Lytechinus pictus: one gene and its partners. The protein of the gene in region 1 interacts with the protein of each later gene in a pairwise test. Links are inferred from orthologs where the notes say so. Each region holds a gene or a part of one and is shown in the gene's direction. Other genes may lie near its edges. The genes, in order: protein lin-7 homolog C-like, receptor tyrosine-protein kinase erbB-4-like and gamma-adducin-like.

Region 1 (7,375 bases):
GAAAGGTAACAGGTTATAACAATGGCATAAGAAAAATACAATTAAACAAAGGTTAAAAAAATCAAAATATATAATAGTAAAAAAATTGTTATGTATAGGAATATAAGAGCAATACACTGTAAAAAAAAAACATTGAATCAGTAGTTAACACTTAATGTATTTAAGTAGAATTTACAATTTGTAATTATTTTTTGTTGTTTTTAAGTAGTTTCAACTTGTCTTTTAATTTACTTGATTTACTTGATTTATTTGGGTTCAATATACATTTAAGAAAATTCACGTATTGATATCTTGCTTTGATTGAGTAAATCTAACTCAATTAGGCAAAGATGATTATTACTTATAAAATCATGTTGAATGTATTTATATTTTCAATTAACGCCATATTTAAATAATGCATGAATATTCATTAGAGCAAGTAAATGTTTTTTTTTTTTAATAACTGTCATTTCTATTTGTGTTTGAAATTGTTTTGGATAAGGGTGTGCTAACTATTGTATTCTTTTGTTGAATCAAAGAAAAGGCAACATTAAATAGTCATTTAGCAGAAAATTATTCTCACTGTTTTATTTGTAAGAATGAAACGATCGCGTATAAATATCAATGTCAGTACCTATACATGTACAGGTAAGTGACAATTCACAAAGTCTAATATTTGGATAAAACATGTATAAAATGAAAATGATGCCACCAAAAGTGGGACGATGGGGGAGCGGACTTTCGAATCACGAAAGTCCATCCACTCCCCCATTTGATATTTTCAAATATTTTAGTGATTGTTTTACTTAATTGAATTAAGTTATTGTAACTTAATTTTCTTGAGTAAAATGGAAGCAAAGAAAATAAGTAAATTTTACTTAAAACTGCCAAAGTCATAAATACTTGAAAAAATTAAGGCAATTTTTTGCCACAATTTTATTAAGTAATTTCTACTAATTTTTTTTTACAGTGTAGTAACTGGCAGCGTTGGTGGTTGTTCACATGGTCGATTATGTGAATATGGGATGCACATTGTTGAAATGATCAAATTTAAGTGTGAAGGGGGCATGGTTTCACAAGTGTTTCACATTGTGGTACGTATTCATTGACTCTTCCCGGTATTGGGCCGGTGGTTTGGCGTCAGAGAAATAACACTTTGTAACTGATAATCTACTCAATGTGCCTGTTTTGAAACATTCTGTTTAAGTTTTATTGAAAATGTTTGATGGAAACGCACTTAAAATAAAAAATAATATTGCTGATTCAGAAAAAATGAATAAAAATAATAATTGCTCTCTGTTGTGATATGATTTGTTTTTATCCTGTTATTGCTGTCGTAATTCCCCGTTTTTAGGGAGGGGTGGTGCCGACTGAAAGAGCAATATCTGGATCTGGATCCGTATCGAGACAAAGTATTTGAGAAAAAAAGTGATACATAAAAGAAGGGAATGGTCTAAAGACGTAGTAGAAAAGCAGGTATACAGACTGCATGATTATGGAACATATAAAATGCGTTTGCATAATAAAAAATAAATAAAAAAGAGGGGAATGGGGTAAATCGGGTCATGAAAACCATATTAAAGGATTATGTGGAAAGGAGGTAATAGATTAAAGGAAAAGGAGGGGGAAAGGGTCATAAATTATGATCCGCTGGTTAGTGATTTTTTTTAACCAAATAAAGGGATGGTCCGGGCTGAAAATATTTATATTTTAATACATAGAGTAGAATTCACTGAGCAAAATGCCGAAAATTTCATCAAAATCGGATAACAAATAATAAAGTTATTGATGGTTAAAGTTTAGCAATATTTTGTGAAAACAGTCGTCATGAATATTCATTAGGTGGGCTGATGATGTAACATCCCAACTTTCCGTTTTCTTATGTTATTACATAATATCATAATTTTTTCATTATTTCATACTTACCTTGTGTGAATGATATGTCTCCCTTATAATGAAATAAGTTGCAGCAATAAATATCTAATGCACTAAATCAGTTGTCAATCCAATTTTTCTAGTTCTTGGAGAAAAAAGTTAATAAACCTAATTTCATATAATAAAATACAAAAGAACAAGTGGGGATGTGACATCATCAGCCCACCTAATGAATATTCATGACGACTGTTTTCACAAAATATTGCTAAACTTTAAAATTCAATAAACTTGTTATCCGATCTTGATAAAATTCTCGGCATTTTGCTCAGTAAATTCTACTCTATTTATTAAGCTATAAATACTTCCAGCCCGGACCATCCCTTTAAATACTTTATAATTCATTTTTTTGTATCTGATTTGATTTGGGAATTACAAAAAGACAGTGAAAAGTCGGAGCAAGATATTGCAAAAGAATAAAAGCTTGATGGGGAATTAAGGAAAAATTCATGGTTTTCTAGAAAGAAAACGTGGCTAAGCTATAAAAGAAATACCCGGAAGAAAACATGTGAAGGGTAGATGAAAGTTCTACAAAAAAATGAATGAATGAAAGAGAGAGAGAGAGAGAGAGAAAGTGAAACAAAAATCACTAAAAATATAATGAAAACGAAAAAGTTCTAAGCAAAAGAGTCACCGCAGAGGGCAGTATTCCAATTTTCATTTCGCATTAAGTTGAATGGAAACACGAAATTACATGGGAATTAAGCGTTTCATGAAAACTTCTTGACTAATAATGGCTAATAAATGGGGGGGGGGGGGGGAGGGGATTAAAATTGTGCCCCCCTCCCTTTGTAAGTGATAACTTTTTTTTGCTTGTCAAATTCATCCTCGGAAAAATGTGCCCCCCCCCCCTTTGGAAAATCCAGGATCCGCCCCTGAAAGGGACCTCCGTCATTTTGCCGTTCTCTATAACTTTGTTCAGTTAGTGCACTATAATAGTGGACCATGCCCCCCCCCCCAAGGGAGAGGGGGTGGGGTAAATGGCAAAGAACAAAATACAGAATCATGAAAAGGGAAACTACATCTGTAACTTGGTTTGACTGCCAAAAAAACGGTGACAATTTATTATGCAATAATTATATAATAGAGAAACTATACTGAAAAGAAAAGCAGTGTATGATAAGGAGGATACCTGAAGAAAATAAAATCGATTTTGTTTTTTTCCATGAAGAAAACAAAACAATCAAATCAGTAGTAATAATGATAATAAAACAGCTAGGGATGCTGTGGGCCATGCAAGTATGCAACTCAACTCACCGTAGGGTTATACTCACATGCTTTTCAATTCCTTTCTTCTTGTTGTTTTCTCTTCTTCAGTTCTAAAATTATAATCAATTAAAAAATAGGCCTATAAGGCCTATTGTCAGCAGTTGCAGCTCGAGGTGCGGCCGCGATCGATGCAGGAGCTACACCCCCAGCCAATGAATTTGCCCCATAATGGGCTCGCCTATATGGTTTCACTTTGACTTTCTCGGGGATAATGATATAGGCATTCATATAGCGCCAATATATATAGTTTTTATTTTTCTACTTCTTTTTCTCTTATTTTGTCTGCAAATATATTCCTTGACCTCGACGCTGTATTTCTTTTTACCTTTTGGCTCCGCGGGGATTATGTTTTACTTTTCTCTCCTGTATAATCAAAGGCCTTTAGATATAGGCCTACCTTTCATCTTTTATTATTTTGTTAATTTCCTCTTTTCATATTTTATCGTACATATTTTCAGGACCTATATCTTTTCTTTTCTTTCTTTACTTTCTTTTCTTTTCATTCTTTTCTTTTCTTTTCTTTTCTTTTCTTTTCTTTTCTTTTCTTTTCTTTTCTTTTCTTTTCTTTTCTTTTCTTTTCTTTTCTTTTCTTTTCTTTTCTTTTCTTTTCTTTTCTTTCTTTCTTTTCTTTTCTTTTCTTTTCTTTTCTTTTCTTTTCTTTCTTTTCTTTTCTTTCCTTTTCTTTTCTTTTCTTTTCTTTTCTTTTCTTTTCTTTTCTTTTCTTTTCTTTTCTTTTCTTTTCTTTTCTTTCTTTTCTTTTCTTTTCTTTTCTTTTCTTTCTTTCTTTTCTTTTCTTTTCTTTCTTTCTTTCTTTCTTTCTTTCTGTCTTTCTTTCTTTCTTTCTTTTCTTTTCTTTTATTTTCGTTTCGTTTCTATTCGTTTCTTTTCTTTCCTTTTCTTTTCATTCATTTTCAAAGTTTCTGTTTTCTGTTATCTTTTCTTCTTCTTTTTCAGTTTTTTAATTGTTGTCTTCTATTAATTTTCGTATACGTTGCTGCGGGCGTTGCTGTCTTTTCTCTTTTCCCGTTTCTTTTATTTTTCTGTTCTCTTCCTTTTCCAACCATTTTTTGTTGTTGTAATTCCACCCTTCCCTTTGCCACATATTTTCTTCTGATTAATCCTTGAAGCACATTGCTCCCAACTTGCTCTTTACTGCCAGATTTGCAGATTTTTTTTCATGCATTCGATGTGTGTGTACAGTACAATGATGACGTCATCCGAGATCAGATGACAAAATGGCTTCTACAGGCGAACTTACACTCGACAGAGGTAAAACACTAACGATTATGTTTTTGCCAATATATCAGAGAATTTATGAATATTTACGTTTATTTACTTATTTCATACATATGCATTATCTAAGGATTGTTATAAAGTGGGATTCAATGTGTGATATTACGAGGAAGTGTGGAAATAAGAGTGTTTTCTGGGAGTTTCTACGCTACGGTCCGGCATTTGCAACCCACTGCACTGGCTGATGTTTACAGGAAGGAGGGGTCGTGCGAACGTTCATATCGGCCCCAACGGGGCGGGGAGGTGGCCGGTAGGTGATGACGAAGAGCTCGCTGAGAGTTTGGCGGAGCTGACTCTCTGACTGTCCGGGGCTAATGCAATTTCGCGCTTACCGATTTCAGGCAAATTTCCCACCAGTATATTGTTTGCAAAATGCAAGTCTCTCATTCACACTTCGAGGTGAATATGCCCACTGCTTTTCCAAATCGGGAACGGCGAATTTACATTTTGGCTCCGATCTCGACGTTATTCAAATTCTTGGGGGGGGGGGGGGCACTTCCATTGAAGAGTGGATACCATGTGCGACCATGGCCATGGGGTCTCAAAAAGCACCCTAAACACGTATTTTCCATATGCTGAAAATGCACCCCTTAACAAGTATTAGCATGTTAAACCCTACCCTTAATAACAAGTATTGGAAACAAAACGATACTCTTGGACTTGGCAAGTATTCCCTGAATTGAACCCCTAAACAAGTACAGCGATATTTTAATTGTTATGCCATGGAGGTCGGTCGTCGGTTTTACCTTAGTTTAAGTTTAACTACATCATTAATTGGGTTTAGTACGGCTTCACCTTCCACACCTCGCGTAAATCGTACTCTAAACACGTAGTGTTGATTGTTGGGGCAAAAAGTACATCCTTTATAAAAAACATTTTAGTCCCAATTTTCTATACCCTCCCAAATTTGACCCTAAATACGTAGCTCTTCTAGCGAAAATAGATACCCTTTTTTCATTATTTTAGTGTTTTTGACACCCTTATTACTAAGTTACATACGTAACGTGCCCTATCTTGAAAAAGACACCCTTTTTACGTGTTTTTTTGGTCGCGCATGGTATCCACTCGTCAATGTAAGTGCCCCCCCCCCCCCCGGGTTCTCGGGTCAGACATAGGCCTTGCCCTTACTTAGCAACCAAAAGATATGCCTGCGGCAGCTCACATGTTTGTTCGCATGATTTTGGTTGCTAACTTCAAATTGGAGCAGTTACTTAGAATAGATCGTCGAGAACGGGGCCAGATTAAACGTTCCCGATCACGATATTTGGAAAAACGGTGGGCATTGGCCTTGAGGACTTTGTGATTATATTTTTTAATATTTTGACATATACTTATTCATCATGAAGCCTTGAAACAGGCGAAGCGAGACATCAAAGCATTGATTGATTTCCATAGGATATTAGGAAATCCATCTTTAAACCTACAAATCACATAAATTTGTATACACCTTCATATGCCTAATGCGTATGAAGGTGCAAAAAAACTATTAGTATAAATATGAAAAATCAGAGGTTTCTTACCAGACCGATTTCGTTTAGATCCCTCATTCCATTCGTAAACACCGCAATACATAAGGCTTGGCCCTTGAACCGCTTCGTTATAACGTAGCCTCGATAAGCAATGGTACAAAATACCGTCTTGAAGAACAATTTATTGATAAAAATTATCATTTAACAAATGATAAAATTTGAAACTTGATTATAAATAATTATTATTACAACCAAGAACAATGAAGAGGAGAAAAGAGAGATAAAGACCCTAAAAGTAAGATTGTAATGAAAAAGTGAAGTTTTATCATGAAACTTTTGCCACAAGCGCCATGCGGTGCCCCTTGATTTCTTTTTACTCGTCACGCTAATCCCACATAGAGCTACGCGCCAATGCTCGCATATTTTATTACCATCATGAAAAATCCTGTTGACACCATGATATGTCCAGGAAATTTTTTGCTCCTGTCACCCCCCCCCCCCCCCCCCCCTGTTACACCCTTGACTTTCTGATTCTGCTCGCTAGATCTGCCAATGGAACTGTTGTTGTGTTAGCTGGGGCCTGGGCCGGGCTGTGAGCTTGGAATGATAAAGAGTCTATAGATTATAGAATATGCTTTTTATTTGTTGGGCATGACTGGTAGGAAAGCTCAGTGCCCGGAATAGATTTTTACTTCTCGATAAAAACAAACAGGAATAATAATTGTTTTGAAGACTGACTGGGTTTTTTTTTTTTTTTTTTAATCAAAGGAAGGCTGGTAATTATTATCACCATGCTTTTTATAATTGTGATGGTACTGTCTCCCCCTTCTTTGTTTTAAAATAAATGATCAATCTTGACCTCTAGATCTATCTTGTCTTTCATGCTTTTGAAATAATATATTTTGTGGGATTTCTGTACTTTTTACAAATGAGTAAAGTGTGAGATTGTACTTAGTTAATGTGGGATTCCTGTCAAAGTCATGTCATCACGTCTCTGTTTATTTTCCATCAGATGTCAGCCGTGCAATACAGTTACTTCAAAATCTACAGCAACGTAAGTTTATCATATAATTTGCAAGTACATGTACCACAAAAATTACAGATACATACTGAGCACTTTCCAAAACCTCTATCCAGATCCTAAAGTCAAAGGCTACATGTATGTTTGCCCTGATGGTGAGATGGTTCAAAGCAGAAAAAAATATAGAAAAATATTGGTGAAGGTTTATGTATCAGTCAAAGAATAATAACAGTATTCCAAGTTTTCAAAATAAAATCATATATCTGTGAAATTCTTCATATTTTGATATTTGTGAAACTGGAATTTAGCACTATAATGCAGTAATGTAAAAACTAGATCTTTGAATAAAAAAATAGAAAAAGAGATTATTTTAGCAATTAAACCCAGCAGTGGAACAATATAATGTATTGAG
Region 2 (7,340 bases), on another chromosome or scaffold:
ACCATCCTATCCGCTTGGATGCACTTTCCATGTATCCATCCTCACAACTCTATCTTTGTCACCTCTTAATGAATATGTGTGATTAATGCTCGCTGGACACGTCCCCCAAACAAAATCATAAACAATGGGCCGTGATGATACCCAGCCTGAATATCTAGATAATACTGGGGAAACTGCTGGAATATTATGACATTTCAGATCTTAAAGTGACCGTAGACTTAGTACGCTGGTAGAAAATTATGCTTTACAGTGACACAAATACAATAAATGTTTGTTAAATCATGTTGTCTTTGATAAAATACTAATGATGTTTTTGGGAAGTATTTAGAGATTGAGAATAATAGAATCATCCTCTTCTTTTTGGTAAGGTAGGAAAATTTGTATGTACATGTAGAGCATTGGAAGGGTCCATTCGAGATTTGGCAACATCATTCAGTGTGTTCACTGTCATGTCGTATGACTAAGTTTTAAAAAAATCAAATGAACTTTGGTGTACGAGTGTCAGCTCTGCCAAAGAGCCTAAAATCTTTTAAACTTACGCTTTGAAGACCCTTATATAGACATAGCAATAAGTGTTGACAATGACAATCACCAGAATTCTATAGTTCTATGAGATGTTATATTCTACTAGGAGAAGCTTAGAAGGAAACACACTGAACAGTATACTCTGAGTAGAAATCCTTGATGGAATTGCGATAGATACTCTATAGCAGCTCGTGGCTGTATACCTCCAAAAATAAAGTGATACCGAACACCCAAGATGTGTAAATAATACACCCATCTAAGGTACCACCAGCCCCAAGCCATTCTCACCCCCCTTGTCATACCCCCTTCATCTTGCCTTCAGCTATGGCTTTAGCTTTCACTTATGCACCAGTGATGGTTTGATTTGAAAATAATTCATCTTTTCTTGTGGTTGGCCCACTGTATTCATTTAGGGTATCGTGTGTTGTAATCAAACAGTGACACATTCGTAGAAAGTACACGGCTTTCATTATTACCAGCGCATTAAATCCCGGTAAGCAGTGAAATTTATTTTCTTGCCCCCATTTCATTCCTAGAAATATTTGACTCTCAATTTTTAAAGTGTGAGTAATGATATTGAGTCCTTGGGATGTGGAATAGATGCCCTTTTCTTTGTAAATAATACTTTGTCTTTTTATTAAAATGTCACATTTGAAACGAAGGTCTTGTACCCAAGTGCGTTTCAAATTGTAAAAGTAAATTTGAGCTAGGAAAACGAGGAAAAAAACTTCATCAGCAAAGCTGTTGTGGTGTAGGCCTGTATGCTGACAAAAACCTTCAATACACATAACGTAGAAGTACTATGATGACTTTTTGATACAACACAACATCGACCTCTGTGGAATTTAGGTCAGCATGAGGTCGTGTGGGGTCATTGACCAACTTTCCTTCATGGGGGGGGGGGGGGGAGTGATTGACATCTGATCTCGTCATATATGATAAGCGGGGTTCATTAAGAAAGTGATCATTAGTGAGATCATTTGTCAAATCTAAGGCCATTTATTCTTCTGGGAAATTTGTTCATCTTCTATTGCTCCATTCCTGAGATGTTGAATAACTACCAGTCTCTATCTCAGAAATCATTTGATTACTTGTTGATAAGCAGAGACATCAGAAAATTCATAAATTATCCTTCCTGATATTCGTTTGATGGGAAGACTGCAAGGTTCTGAAAAGGCATGACAGGCCAAAATTCTATTCAGTAATGGAAGTATTTTGCGCGATATATTTCAATTTTGGCTCATTCTGAAGTTATTTAGTCATATGTGGTCAGTAGATTTTTCATTGCTTGTTATTTAAATAGAAATATCACTAAGGTTTATTGCATACTGACTTAGAAGAACTTTCAAAGCATCTTCTTCTGGTCATATATATAAAATTCGAGAGGTCTTCTGAATGTACATATATTAAAAGATGAGTGAGAAGGTTATAGTGAGAATGAGAGATGCATTAAATTGTTACATGTACACAAAACAGCTAAAACAGCACCATAAGTAGATGAAAGTATACAAAACAGAAACTCTACAGTGATATTTTACCCAGTATTTGTAAAAATTCATGCCTCCTCAATGTCTCCTTGATGTCTCAATGTTCCCAAACAGAGAATTTCAACATACCTTCTTGACCCCTTGTCTTTCAAGACCCTAGATATCAAGTAACAACTTGAATGTCAGATACTTTACTCTTCTGTGTATGACCCAAGAAGTTTTTAATGGATGACTCAACTTTAGGTTGCCATGGTACTACAGCTATGTTACAAGAGGGCCAAGTATTTAGTGAGGTTTTGTTACATTCTTGTCTGACCTGCTATGACCTTTGACCTTGGGGTTGTTGATGATATGTTGATAATTAGAACTTGATACTGGGAGTTGTCCCATCCTATTTGGGTTTTATTTGCAAGTGTTTTTGCAGTGTCTTCTGTTAATTTGATGTGATTCATGTTACTTCTTGTAGTGGCTATTGCACATTCTGTTTCAACAAACTAGACCGATACCTGATGCCTGTAATGTAAGCCCTATATGAATTGTACCCCTCTCTTCCCCCCAACAATATGGGTCCTTGACAAGTCGTATTCTGGCAGGAAAACTTACGAATTGCAATGTTTTTACATTGCATCTCTATAATGTAAAACCATGTAGGTCCATATTGGTTTCAGCCTACATCTCATATGTTAAAACATATTCACACAGTGATGAAGTAAAATAAGTAAAGTATAAAGCTTACATCAATTAAAAATAATGGACACATGGAAGTAAGGAAAATAAAGATAATGTGGAAATTAAATTCAAGTTACCCAATTAAATTTGAAAAGAGGTGCTTCAATCGCAGTTTAATAAGCAAAGATTTTGTAGTGACTTTGTAAAACTATTATGGATATGTAGGAACCTAGAACACCTTTGTATGGAAGAATGCAGTCAGATATTATTGAGAGCCTTCTTGGGTGATGGATTTGTGAATATAATTCTGTTTTTAGACATTCAACCCCTTGTTTAGACTTTGTTTTACCAATTTCAAGATCAATTGATGGTGGCATCCCCAGGTTAACATTACAACAGAAGAGATGAAATCATATTTTCTCTTTTCTAGCCCAATTTAGTGTTGTAAATCTTTTGAGGTAAAACACCTGTAAGAAATGCCAGATCGTACAAGTTCAGAGGTTAGGCTCGATAGCTGTAGGGGTAAAGGGGCATGTCCCCCTCTCCCATTTTACTCCAACCATCCACTATCTTTCAATATGAGCTGTCATGCAGTGAGTGACACACTTAACTGTTTCTTTTCATGTTTGCGTTAAAAAAATATGACACCATTTAAAATGTATCCATCTTATTTTCACAGTTTGTTCCTTTATATCAAAAGTTTGATAGGTTTGCAAACACTTTTGTCTCAACATGAATGATGTTTGTAGTAATACAGATTTACAGAAATATACACCAAAATCGTGACTGACCCCCCCCCCTCCCTTTCACCCACCACCAAAATGCATCAATTTTTCATTTGTTTAAATGATGGTTTGATTTTTAAATGTTCATCCCAAATCAAAGTACACCTGGACATGCCCTCTTTGACATAGCTGGTTTTGACCCATATCAGGCAATCATAGTGTAAAGCAACCCCAATATCAAAGTCAGGTATCAAGGGATTGCCACTTTGACGTAATACCAAATAAATGACCCACTTTTCACAGATCCTAAGCTAATCTCACTGAAAATGATATGAGTATTATATTTTGAAGGCTATAATTATATGGATGCAAAATCAGTATCAATTGGTACTGGCTTTTATGTTTTGTAATTACAGGTTTTTTTTTGTAACCACATTGGCATTTTCACAAGGTTATGATTACTAGTATTCACACTTTAATTTTTAGCATACAAAGATATATGAAAGGCAGGAACAATTTCTGACCAAATAGTTTCTTCATAAAAAACAGGCAATTTTTTTTATAATAGCTGAAACATTTATAGATTTTAACTCAGATAATGTCAAATTATGGAAAATTACTTCACTTTGTTTGCAGCATGTGCCCTTTCACTTTAGATTATACGATTTAATAGAAATATGAATCAATTATAGTGTAATGAATAGGAAACATAAATTTTGTAATTCTAATACCTGGAAGACAGAGTTTACTAGTATTACTTTACCTGTGATTAGGTTTATGTTTTACCTGTGAAAACTGGTTTCTGGCAGGTACTTGTCTCTGGTGTGTTTTCTGAGTATCTAAACACAGGTTTCAATCAAAATATGAAACACATCAAAGATAGAATGATGTGATATTTTGATACCAGTATTCCCAATTGGTATGGATTGGAATGTAGTAGAACAAGCTCAATGGAACAAGCTCAGCAGAGACTCACACAGCAGTTTGTGCCTGGGTGAGTGGAGGGGAGGAGGGAGGTGGGGGGGGGGGGTGGGGTGGAGAGGAGGAGGGAGGGAGGGGGGTGCAGAGGGAAATAGTGTGCATTATGATCAATATAGCTCAGGCAAGTGTGGTTATAATGATCAATGCTAAAGATATGCTGTTTTAGGGGTTTAAGTTGTATTATTTTCCGAATACAATAAAAAATAATTTCTGTATGCTCTATTCTCATTCACAGTGCCTACATTTAGTTGTGACCTTCCCCTTAATCCATGCTATAGAATTGAAATTTGTCATACCAGTATTTAATTTGTTTCTTTTGTTTTTATCTTCTTACAGTATGTACTGGCACAGATCAAGGTACCGCTAAACCATACAACAGCGATACTGCCGGAGCAAGGCAACAGTACTATGAAGATTTAAAGGAAAGATATACAAACTGTACATACGTTGACGGAAACCTGGAAATATCCTTTCTCCATGAGCAAGAATATGATCTTAGCTTTCTCTCATCGATACGGGAAGTCACAGGATATATTCTCATTCTCTTGACGTATTCCCGGGTGATACCGCTCACAAACTTACGGGTTATCAGAGGAACAAAGCTTTACGACGACAAGTACGCCCTCTATGTTGCATTGACGTTTCATACAGGAGATCCAGAAATAGCTACAGAAGAGATTTGGTTAACATCATTACATGGTAAGTCTATTGATAGCTATGTACCTAGTTATTATTTGTTGTCATACTTTGTTCATGTATTATTTTTGGGGTTTTGGTTTTTATTTAAAGTTAAAAACTTAAAAGATAAATATTCTATTAATGATGGGAATGTTTCCTGGATCCACATCGGCTCCTGAATAGCAGAAGTGAATAATATGAAAAATCAGCCAAGTTGAATGAAACAATTTCCAGAGATTCTGAAATAGCCTTGGGTAAAAGAAATAGACAATGAGTGTTGAATTGGTTATTGGTCTAATCTCACTCTGTCTAATTCTATGCTATCAATAAGAAGTCTTGATATCTAGCTGCTCCTTGGCCCATGCACCATTTTGGTATATATTTGAAATATTTCCATTGGTCTAAAACCTCTTTGTCTCTATGGTTTTATGAGCTAGAAGACCACAGGAGAAACACCAAATAGGTTTTTGACAATGGGGTAGTTCATTCAAACAGGTAGTGACCAGTATTTCATAAAAGGTGTTTAACACAAAAAAGCATAATGGGGTTTAAACATCCTCCTTGGTTCTTTAAGCACACTAAAATATTGGGAATATTCAAATGATGCCTATGTGTACATTTAGGGAGAATAAAATTGGATCAGATTCAGCATTTCAGCATGGGGCATCCTTAAAAACAAAGGCGAGGTAATATCTATGGTACACTTAAATTCTCAGCTGTGATATCAGATCAATGATTTTTGCTACGCTGATGTTTTTGACATGATCTGAACTGTCACATACTTCTTCCATAAATCCCAATCAAACGCTCGTATCGATGAATGATGATTAAACCAGGCGCGGATCCAGGGGGCACGTGCCCCCTTCCTTTTGAGAAGCAAAATTAAAAATTTGTAATGTAAAAATGCCATGAAAACAGAGGTGTGGCCCCTCTTTTGAAATTGAACACCTTTTTTTTTGGCTTGTCAAATTTTTTCGGGTACGAAATATCCTTAATTTGTTGTTGAAAACCTTTTTTTTTTTGGGGGGGGGGGGGCTTGTCAAAATTTTCCTCCGAAAAATTCCCCCCCCCCCTTTGGAAAATCCTGGATCCTCCCCTGATTAAACATACTGATTTTAAGATTAAAAAAGGAATTCAATCATATTAATCATGGTTTCATTCAATTTTTAAACTAGTATTGCTAAAATTGTGTTTTTTCTTGCAGAAATCTTGAAAGGAGATGTATACTTTCATCAGAATAATCAACTGTGCTATGTACAGACCATTGCCTGGGATGACATGCAACCTGGTTTGGTAGCCAACTTCTCAGTATGGGATGAACATCCACAACGTAACTGCTTAGGTGAGGACTATTTCATGTGCTTACAGCAAGAAAGGCATTAGCTACTTAGAAAGATAAACTTATTTTGCTCTTTAAATCTGTTAGTTGAGAAAATTTTTAAATAATGATACATAGGGACGTTGTCTCTGAGTATTTTAAAGATTACTAATGCAGTCATTGTATTCTATATGGTATACATATCCATAATTTTTATTTATGGAATGCAAGTACTTCTTTTATACACAATTTGATATGTGCAAGGTCAGTGCCACTTCCTCTTGTTAAAGTAATTTATAATTATTAATGTTTATCTTTGTTCATCTTCTTTTACACAGAACACCAATGTCATGAATCATGCAAGGGTCGATGCTGGGGTCCAGGAGAGGACCATTGTCAGATATGTGAGTAGACAATGTAATACATCATCATTCTCCTCAGTTATTTATTCATAATATGAAGATATTAAGCTCTATACATTTTGGTCCATTGAAATAGATAATATTTGAAATATTTCTAGAAGAATAAAGGGAAGCTGTTTCAATTGATTTTGCATTATTATTTTCTCCAAATCACTCAAAACTTTATTATCAGTCAATAACTTTGATCTATGGTTTGTATGTTTGAAAAGATAAAGCATGACATTTTTTTGCAGGAAGGTAAATTCTCGTCTTGTCACAAATGCTGAATGAAAGGCATTCTGTCATCTAACCTATAATACTGGAAATTTCTTTTTGTGAGTAAATGTCTAAATTTGTCCATGGATTTTACTTTTCATGTCTTGGTACACATAAATATTAAGTCTTTCCCTTTTCCTCTCTATAGTAACGCTAAAAGATTGCAGCTCAACATGCGACTACCGTTGTCGAGGTCCTACTCAGGCGGACTGCTGCCACAGAAGTTGCGCTGGGGGTTGCACCAATTCTTCTAATGCTGGATGTCTGGTGAGTTTGAACC
Region 3 (7,799 bases), on another chromosome or scaffold:
CCTTTGATAAAATGATTTGGAGCAGTCAATAATCAGCCTTTTTAGTAATAAATGCAATTGTACTAATGTGCAAACCTAACATCCTGTATAGATATGGAGGAATTGATTAGATAATTCCTCTTGGTGTTAAAGACCCATTTCACTTTTAATTTCACCTGTGTACTTATGACTCATTACTCAATATTACCAGCCGGCCTATGTCGTCTAGGTCTGTCAATCACACATTTTCATCACATTTGAAGACTCTTGGTTGATCATTCTTTATTAGCAACATGATCGTTACGTGCTTCTGATTGCCTGCAAAATGGCACATTTTTCCCACAAATAGTCGTTACTTTGCATTCATTCGCTGCACAAGGCCTCCTCAATACTCCATGGTCGGCTAACCAACATGAACTGGCTAGGATTACCGGAATCGGAAATGATGTGTCCCAAGCCATCATTTTGATCAGTGCTAGCATTAAGAGAAAGCCTTTGCAGGAATTGAAAATAAGATATGAATATGTTTCACTGCTCTATGGACACTGTCATGGCAAAGTACTTTGAAAGATGAAGAAATAAGAGACAAAGATGTGCAACATCCATGAATTCATCATTTCTCTTAACCTGGCCATGTTACTAGTATTTCCTATACATGAACCATAGAGCTATTGCATGAACCTTGATTGCGCTCATCATCATGTATGCTTTATTTTTTTACTCAAAATAGGGATTACTTTTGCAATCAGTTATTAAAAAAACTCACACATATTCAGTTTCTTTTCTTCAGAGAATCTGTTTATAATACTTTTGTGAATATAGAATGAAATGTAAAGAAATATAGTGTAATAGACTGTCTATTAATTACTCAAGAGTTTAGACCCCACACACGCAGCGCTATAAAAGACATGATAAGAATAATAATTATAATATCAGCAGATAAGTTAGGCATACTTCGCTTTATTTAATACAAATGTTTCTAAGTGCCGCTTGTGATACATAAACTTTCATGATCCAACCTGTAAGCCAATATAGGCTTGTTACCTTGCCATTTGCAGATATTACACTTTCGCAGTCAACAGCATAACATGAGTCCTTGGAAGTCGCCCGCATTAATCCAACATATTGGGTTGTCTGCATGCATGTGCGTGTATGTACCGAGCAATTTTGGAAAAGATGGCTCAACTGAGATCAATCAATGGGGAAAATGTAGATTGGAATCTGGAAGCCCCATTAACACAAAGATTCGCAATCAATTGCTTTGTGGTAATGGCCAATCACGATCATTGTTGCTTGCACATTTTGTTGATAACACTGACTAGGAACCAATCAGTTGGGTGTTTCATAAAAATGTCTGTAAGTTACAAATGATATTACATACAATTGGTGACTCTTTTTTGTTCTTAATGACATAGGCCTATTTTACTGACTTGGCTCCTAGGAACGTGTTCCAGTCATATGTAATTTAATTAACAGCTTTATGAAACACCCACCAGGGGCCTATCTTACAAAGAGTTGGGATTAATCTGATCATGGACCTATAAGAAATAGACGATTAACGCGAGCATTCTTTTGATGCAATCATAGTCGCCGTCTCCTGACTATGTGCATATTAATGATACCATACAGGTGCTTTGACAATGGCGACTACCAAGGCGAATCTGATCTTCACAAAGGAATGTTTTGCTCTTTTTGCCGTTTGTTGGCTGATGTCTTGTAGCAGATTATACCTTTCAATTAAGATGTTTCAGATTTGGAACAGCAAATTGAGAAGCAGACGATTTTTGTGATATCAAATTTATTATTATCGATTTGCACGCTTCTGCACACTCATAGTGACTTTTCTAACAACGAGAGGGGGACGACCCCTACAAGAAACCCACCATGTTTCTTTGGAATATTATGAGGAAATCTTTAAAATGTGATTATAAATTACAATCAATCAATTTCATTTCAGCCTCTATCTTGAAATATTCATACATTTTTCCAAATAAAAACCATGGAACTAAGATAACCATTTGTAAACCAGAACTGCACATTAATTTCCGAGAATTCAGGCAATTTATTACCTTCTGCGCATACAATTTGTCTAATGTTAAATGTCTAATCACCGAAAGCTTCTGTAACTCATGGTTTAATTGACGGCGACCATGATGGTATCACAGGAGATAAATATGAAGAGAATGTTATTCACATGACAATGACAGTCAGATGTTAGTGAATTCATTAACTAACCGATGAATGTCCAGCTTTCATAGGTCCATGATCTGATCAATCGCGACTATGGAAGGCCAGCAACATCATCATCTGAAATACATGTTTGTTCAAAATACTTTCTAGAAATGACTTATATTTATACATTCACAGTTTTCTTGAAAAATCAGTATGCTTCTCTTTGTTTTCAAAGGACATTGATCAAATTTCAAAAAAAAAATATATGACATGAATGGATTTCCATATACTTGAGATTGATTGGATCAATCGTAACTCTTTGTAAGATGGGGCCCAGGAGTGTTATTTCATATTGCAATCCATTGTGGATCGTTAATTCACACATAAACTCTGCTGTGAGATGCAGCAATTCATTTGAACACTGCAATATTTTGTTTATGTAGGCCTACATGAATTTTGTGTACTGATGTCTGATGAGCTCAATGATGATATATATTTAGACCTGCTATATCTCTTTATACATTATACATCTCTCACTGGACCTTGATGGAAATGGCATTGGGCAAATATTGACTATGTTCTTCGTCCTTCCTCGCTTAGTGTGCATTATGCATGTATCAGGGTTCACATGGGCATACTAAATGAATGAGTCAGACTCGCAGTCTCAGAGCTCATTCACACTGGAGTTTTCATTTGAAATGATGCTAGCCTTAAGTCTTTACATTGATATACAGTAGCACTAGCTCATTAACACCAAGAGTTATCATTTGAAAAGATTAAACCTTGCAATGCTACATTTTTACTGTATAACAGCTCATTCACACAAGGAGTTTTCATTTAAAATGATGCTTAAACTCCTTCCATCAATATTCAACATTTTATCTTTTGTCTGAAGAGGTCTGAGCTGGATTGGACCTCTTCTTGCTCAGATGTTTGGTAGGGATAGAGGAGACATGATGATGGAAGATAGTTGGGATGTCTCTGAGCAAAGACAAGGATATATTGAAGTAGAGATTACCGAGTGGAAGGATGATGCGGATATATACAGCTGATCCCTTTCTGTTTATGTGACTTGAGATATTTCTCAAGACCTTTGATGCTATATTTGCTTAAAATATGGAATGAAAATGTTAAAATGTTATTGATAACAAGCAGTGTGGGAGTTGGAGTTAAGGGCAGTGTAGAGCATACTACTTCAGTGTCTCAGAGAAATCAGATCTTTATATTAGTACTCTAGCTTATTTTAAACTTCATTTAAAAAAAAGAATGTTTGGAAGAGACTTCATCCATGAGCTGCTGTTGTAATTCTGAAGCCTGTCACATCAAAGAAACTGGCTCCAGACTGTAGTATGACTGCAGAATCAGTTTAATGGTACAGTCGCGCAAGCAACAATATCAGACTAGTCAATCTATTCCCATTGACATACCACTAGTGGGTTTGGAGTCGGTTTTGATGGTATGAATTTAGAATTATGGACCCCCCCCCCCTGGAAGAAAAGGATCCTTGAATCGGGGGGGGGGGGGCATTTGTGCAGCAAGTTTTATAGCTTTCCTTGATTTTGATTGGCCTAGAAGCACTGTTACTATGGAAACTGGTGGATAAAACGGGACTTGTGAATAAATAAAAACGTCCAGCATGTCCATTCATGGAAACGCTTTTTTTTTCAGGGCACTTGTTTATGCGGTCAGCCTTTGATTTTGTCGTTGGGTAACTTTTTCAAAAGTTGTACTCTAGTAAGAATGTAAATGATGTCACCTTCGTGAGGATGATTCATGTCGTGAAATAATGACTAGATGTCTACCTAACTGAGTCATATGGTAAGAATAAGACTAAATGAATTACAGAGACATTGATACCCTCGCCAAGTGAATGACTGGGTAGGTTGCAGTGATACCCAAGGCAGAAGATACTGTCTGGGAGGAGCATGGTGTGATGATGAAACGCTATGCCTGCACGGAAGAAGTTTAGCGGAAGTCTTGGATAGACGGAGGGATGGATTACTGCAAGGGAACATGTAGTGTTGTGATCGTGATGAGCAGGAGAATGTATTGGTAGTCCGTCATCAGATATCTTGCTTTAAGGTTAAGATCCTTATGCTTTTAGGTTGTTGCTCTTTAGAAAATAAAACTGAAGAAAACATTCATTGCATAGAAAATAATATTATAGGCCTACCTAATAAAGTTGTTTTATTATCTTCATACATGGGGAGAAAGACTGTCGCATTATTTCAGATTGAGACAAACACTGTGGCTAGATTAATGACTGTGGATTGATATGATCGTGAATGTCATCTTCTGAGTACTGAGTAATAATTTCAAGACAAGAAAAATTGTTGTCTTCTTGTACATCTATTGATAGTCTCTCTTTTCTTGATCTCTTTATGAATCTTGATCTTTTTTTCTTTGTGTATTATTATCAAGAATAATTAGTGATTCTATTGAAATGATTAAGCAATATAAAAGCAAGATGGAAACATTGTGAAAACTTCTATACATTGTTTTCTTTGAAATAAAATTAATTTTGATTATGCTTTTGAAATAAGCAATCCCTCTTTCGGTATTTAAAGTGGATAACTACTTGCTGTGTATGGCTATTGATGTTTGCCTGAAACTAGAGGAACCTGTAACACAAAGCTTAGAAATGATCACAAAATAAATTTTGACGGTAAATTGATAGACTACAATGTACAATCAAGCGTACAATCAATCGCTTAGCTTTGTGTTATGTGACCCAGTTGCATCTTCATGAAACATTACCTTCTGTGTTATTTAGCTTTGACAGGTGTTAATGTTATAAAGCGCTTGCTCACTAATGATATTAATCTGTTATTAATTATATCTTTTCTTTATTCTACTCCGTCATTCTCTCCCTTGAGTGCCTTCTACTCTTGTGTATAATAGACCCTTAACGTTATCACTACGTCTTCTCTTCTTCAAAATTCTCCTTGTATCTTCTATTTCATCTCCCCCCCCTCATTCTCTTTTGACCTCATTAAAAAAATAATAATTGTCTCTATGATCTAATTCCCTCTCCTAGTTCCTCTTGCTGCCTTCACTGTAACATTGGCCTTTCTGTTTCCCATTCGTCTCGCTTCTTTTCGTTTTGTTTTATTTGTCATCTTTGGAATTGTTGTGGGTCAGTGGATAAATAAGTCTCTGGATTTCGAAACACAAGATCTGGGTTTTAAATCTATTTGCATCATCTGTGTCCCTCGGCTAGGCATTTATTTTGCCACTCTCCACCCAGGTGTAGTAAATGGATGTAATAAAGAGCTCATTGAATTATTGAGTGCCTGTTCACAGTAGCCATGTTGGGATAGTAATATGCAGCACTGAGCAACATTGTATTTAACACTATATAAAATGTCTCATAGTATTACTGTATTTCTTAATCTCTACTTCTGTAGGCTCGTGTGAGCAAGGAGCAAGACCATTTCCTGATCAACCCCTTCGGCCTCCTTTACCATGAGGTCACTGCATCATCCCTCATCAAGATCGACTCCGTGGGCAACATCATCGACCATGGCACGACGACCTATGGCCCCAACCTGGCCGGCTTCACACTTCACTCTGCTATCCACAATGCCAGACCAGACGTCAAATGCATCCTTCATGCCCATACACCAGTTGTTGCTGCTGTAAGTATAGTAGCCGTCATCTCCAAGTCACACAAAGAAGTCGAGACGTGACATTTTCGATCAAAAATACCTACCCTCTCCACTTATTAAAGGAGAGTGTATGAGAGAATACATACCTTTTACATTGCTTTGTTTAATTTTCCCCTTGTGAAGAGGCTTGTGGATCAGATACAGTAGTCCACTTTGCACAATTCAGTACATCCTTCAACCTCAACCCAACTATCTTACTCTGATTAATACGTCAAAGTAACCATGTTCTTCCATGTCTCATCCTTAGGTATCTGCCATGGAGTGTGGCCTCCTGCCGATCTGCCAGGAAGCACTCATCCTTGGTGAGGTTTCGTACTATGACTACAAGGGCATCGTCATTGATGATGAACAGAAGGACAGCATCATCAGGGCGCTAGGTCCCAAGAAGAGGGTGTTGTTCTTACGTAATCATGGTGTTGTATGCTGCGGACAGACCATTGAGGAGGCGTACTATCTTACAGTCAATGTCATGGCAGCATGTAATACACAGGTTAGTACAAAGCGTCATTGGTTATTTGTTCTTTCTTTAAGAAGATTTCCCTCTATTCTAAGGTCTGTTATTAAGTATCCTGCTCAAATTCATCCAATACCTGGGGTGTGTTTCGTGAAAAGTTTTATTCAGTGTTTTTCACTGTCTTCTTTGCCCTCAGCCAATCAGATGCAATAATTTACAGTAGCTTATAACAATAGATGGTGAAAATTACTGACTATTCATTTCATGAAGTGCTCCCCAGATTATTGAATTGAGCATTTGATCACCACCATTCGTGACAATGTGAGGTTCAGTGTTTCAGTTTTTGTAATGAATTAGGTATAGAACGTTCCCAAAAGAAGACATGTTGGAGGACAATCAATTAAAACTTGTGCATCAATCTTGTTTTTATTGTTATTGTCAAAGCCTCCACTAGGACATCATCTGAGAATTCTCTACACACAAGTAAAAGTAATACACCTCTTTATCTTTTGATATCAATTGGACTGAGGTAAACAAAAAAATGTTTCAGAGATTGATTGCAAAAATAATGGCTCCAACATCTTGACTTCTAAATGTATTTTTAGCTTTCGAAAATGATATGAACAGTTTGAGGGAACATTTTTTATAGGAATTGATAAAGCTCATGTGAACTTTTCTTCACTTTTTCCCCTCAGGTTCAAGCGATGTCTGCAGGTATAGACCAACTGATCAAGGTGTCCGCAGAGATTGCAGAGAAGACCAGAGAGGTCGCTTCCCAGGGAGGTGGAGGTGTACAAGGCGATGATCAGATCAAGAAGTGGCGCTGGGGAGAGCTGGAGTTTGAAGCCATGATGAGGCAATTGGATAACATGGTAGGATGAAGGCATATATTTAGGCGCAATGGGCCCTGCAACATAAGTCTTAGCGATTGATCGTGTCATTAATATGCTCGATTGATAGTATGCAATGAGCAATAGAAGCAGTTGTCAAAATCAGCCCTATGACCAAAGCTAAGCTCTGTTACAGGACCCTTGACAGATATTTAACTAAATCAACGTGACTGTCCGACTGTCCAAGTTCAAAGCCTGGAATACCTCATGGAAACTGACAGAAGTCAGGGCTGGGAGGGGTGTCTCGATGAACGCAGTCATGTGGTTTCTAATGTGAGCCAAACAGCATCAAGTAGAGTCATAGAGATGTCTCTTGCCTCCAGAAGGTTTTTTGTGACATCTTTAACACTTTTTAGGGACTGGAAAAAGACTGTGAAAAATGAAACATGCTTAAATTTTCTGCTACTCATTGAAGACTGTAATTTGCAGGAACTGTCACTGCAATTAGCAAAATTTGAAGTCATATGTTATTCCTGAACTAGTTTCAAGTCTGACGACGTTCCCATTCTTACACTAAGCTCAATCAACTCGAGGCATAATCTTGTGACACAATCATTGTTATACAGTTTTGTTTAAATTCCCTAACCATGTACCTTCCTTTCTTTCCCTAGGGTCACAGAACCGGTTACATCTACC

Evidence for each region.
Region 2: the proteins of protein lin-7 homolog C-like (region 1) and receptor tyrosine-protein kinase erbB-4-like interact in a two-hybrid assay, tested with the Caenorhabditis elegans proteins (3 studies listed by BioGRID). The link is inferred for Lytechinus pictus from reciprocal best matches to the Caenorhabditis elegans genes lin-7 and let-23.
Region 3: the proteins of protein lin-7 homolog C-like (region 1) and gamma-adducin-like interact in a two-hybrid assay, tested with the Caenorhabditis elegans proteins (3 studies listed by BioGRID). The link is inferred for Lytechinus pictus from reciprocal best matches to the Caenorhabditis elegans genes lin-7 and add-1.

The regions. Positions count from the first base shown.
Region 1 is NC_087253.1:11,784,710-11,792,084, forward strand, and holds the start of protein lin-7 homolog C-like, read left to right. Parts: upstream 1-4,351; 5' UTR 4,352-4,415; coding exon 4,416-4,449; intron 4,450-6,954; coding exon 6,955-6,996; intron 6,997-7,375.
Region 2 is NC_087245.1:2,233,084-2,240,423, forward strand, and holds the start of receptor tyrosine-protein kinase erbB-4-like, read left to right. Parts: upstream 1-4,327; coding exon 4,328-4,400; intron 4,401-4,723; coding exon 4,724-5,086; intron 5,087-6,269; coding exon 6,270-6,407; intron 6,408-6,721; coding exon 6,722-6,787; intron 6,788-7,208; coding exon 7,209-7,327; intron 7,328-7,340. UniProt on the Caenorhabditis elegans protein: Tyrosine-protein kinase receptor which, upon binding ligand lin-3, activates 2 signaling cascades: the let-60/Ras and MAP kinase signaling pathway and the let-60-independent phospholipase C-mediated Ca(2+) signaling pathway.
Region 3 is NC_087256.1:11,546,614-11,554,412, forward strand, and holds the start of gamma-adducin-like, read left to right. Parts: upstream 1-4,738; coding exon 4,739-4,774; intron 4,775-5,558; coding exon 5,559-5,789; intron 5,790-6,066; coding exon 6,067-6,309; intron 6,310-6,968; coding exon 6,969-7,145; intron 7,146-7,774; coding exon 7,775-7,799. UniProt on the Caenorhabditis elegans protein: Membrane-cytoskeleton-associated protein that promotes the assembly of the spectrin-actin network. Plays a role in time-dependent memmory loss and the retention of conditioned behavior over time.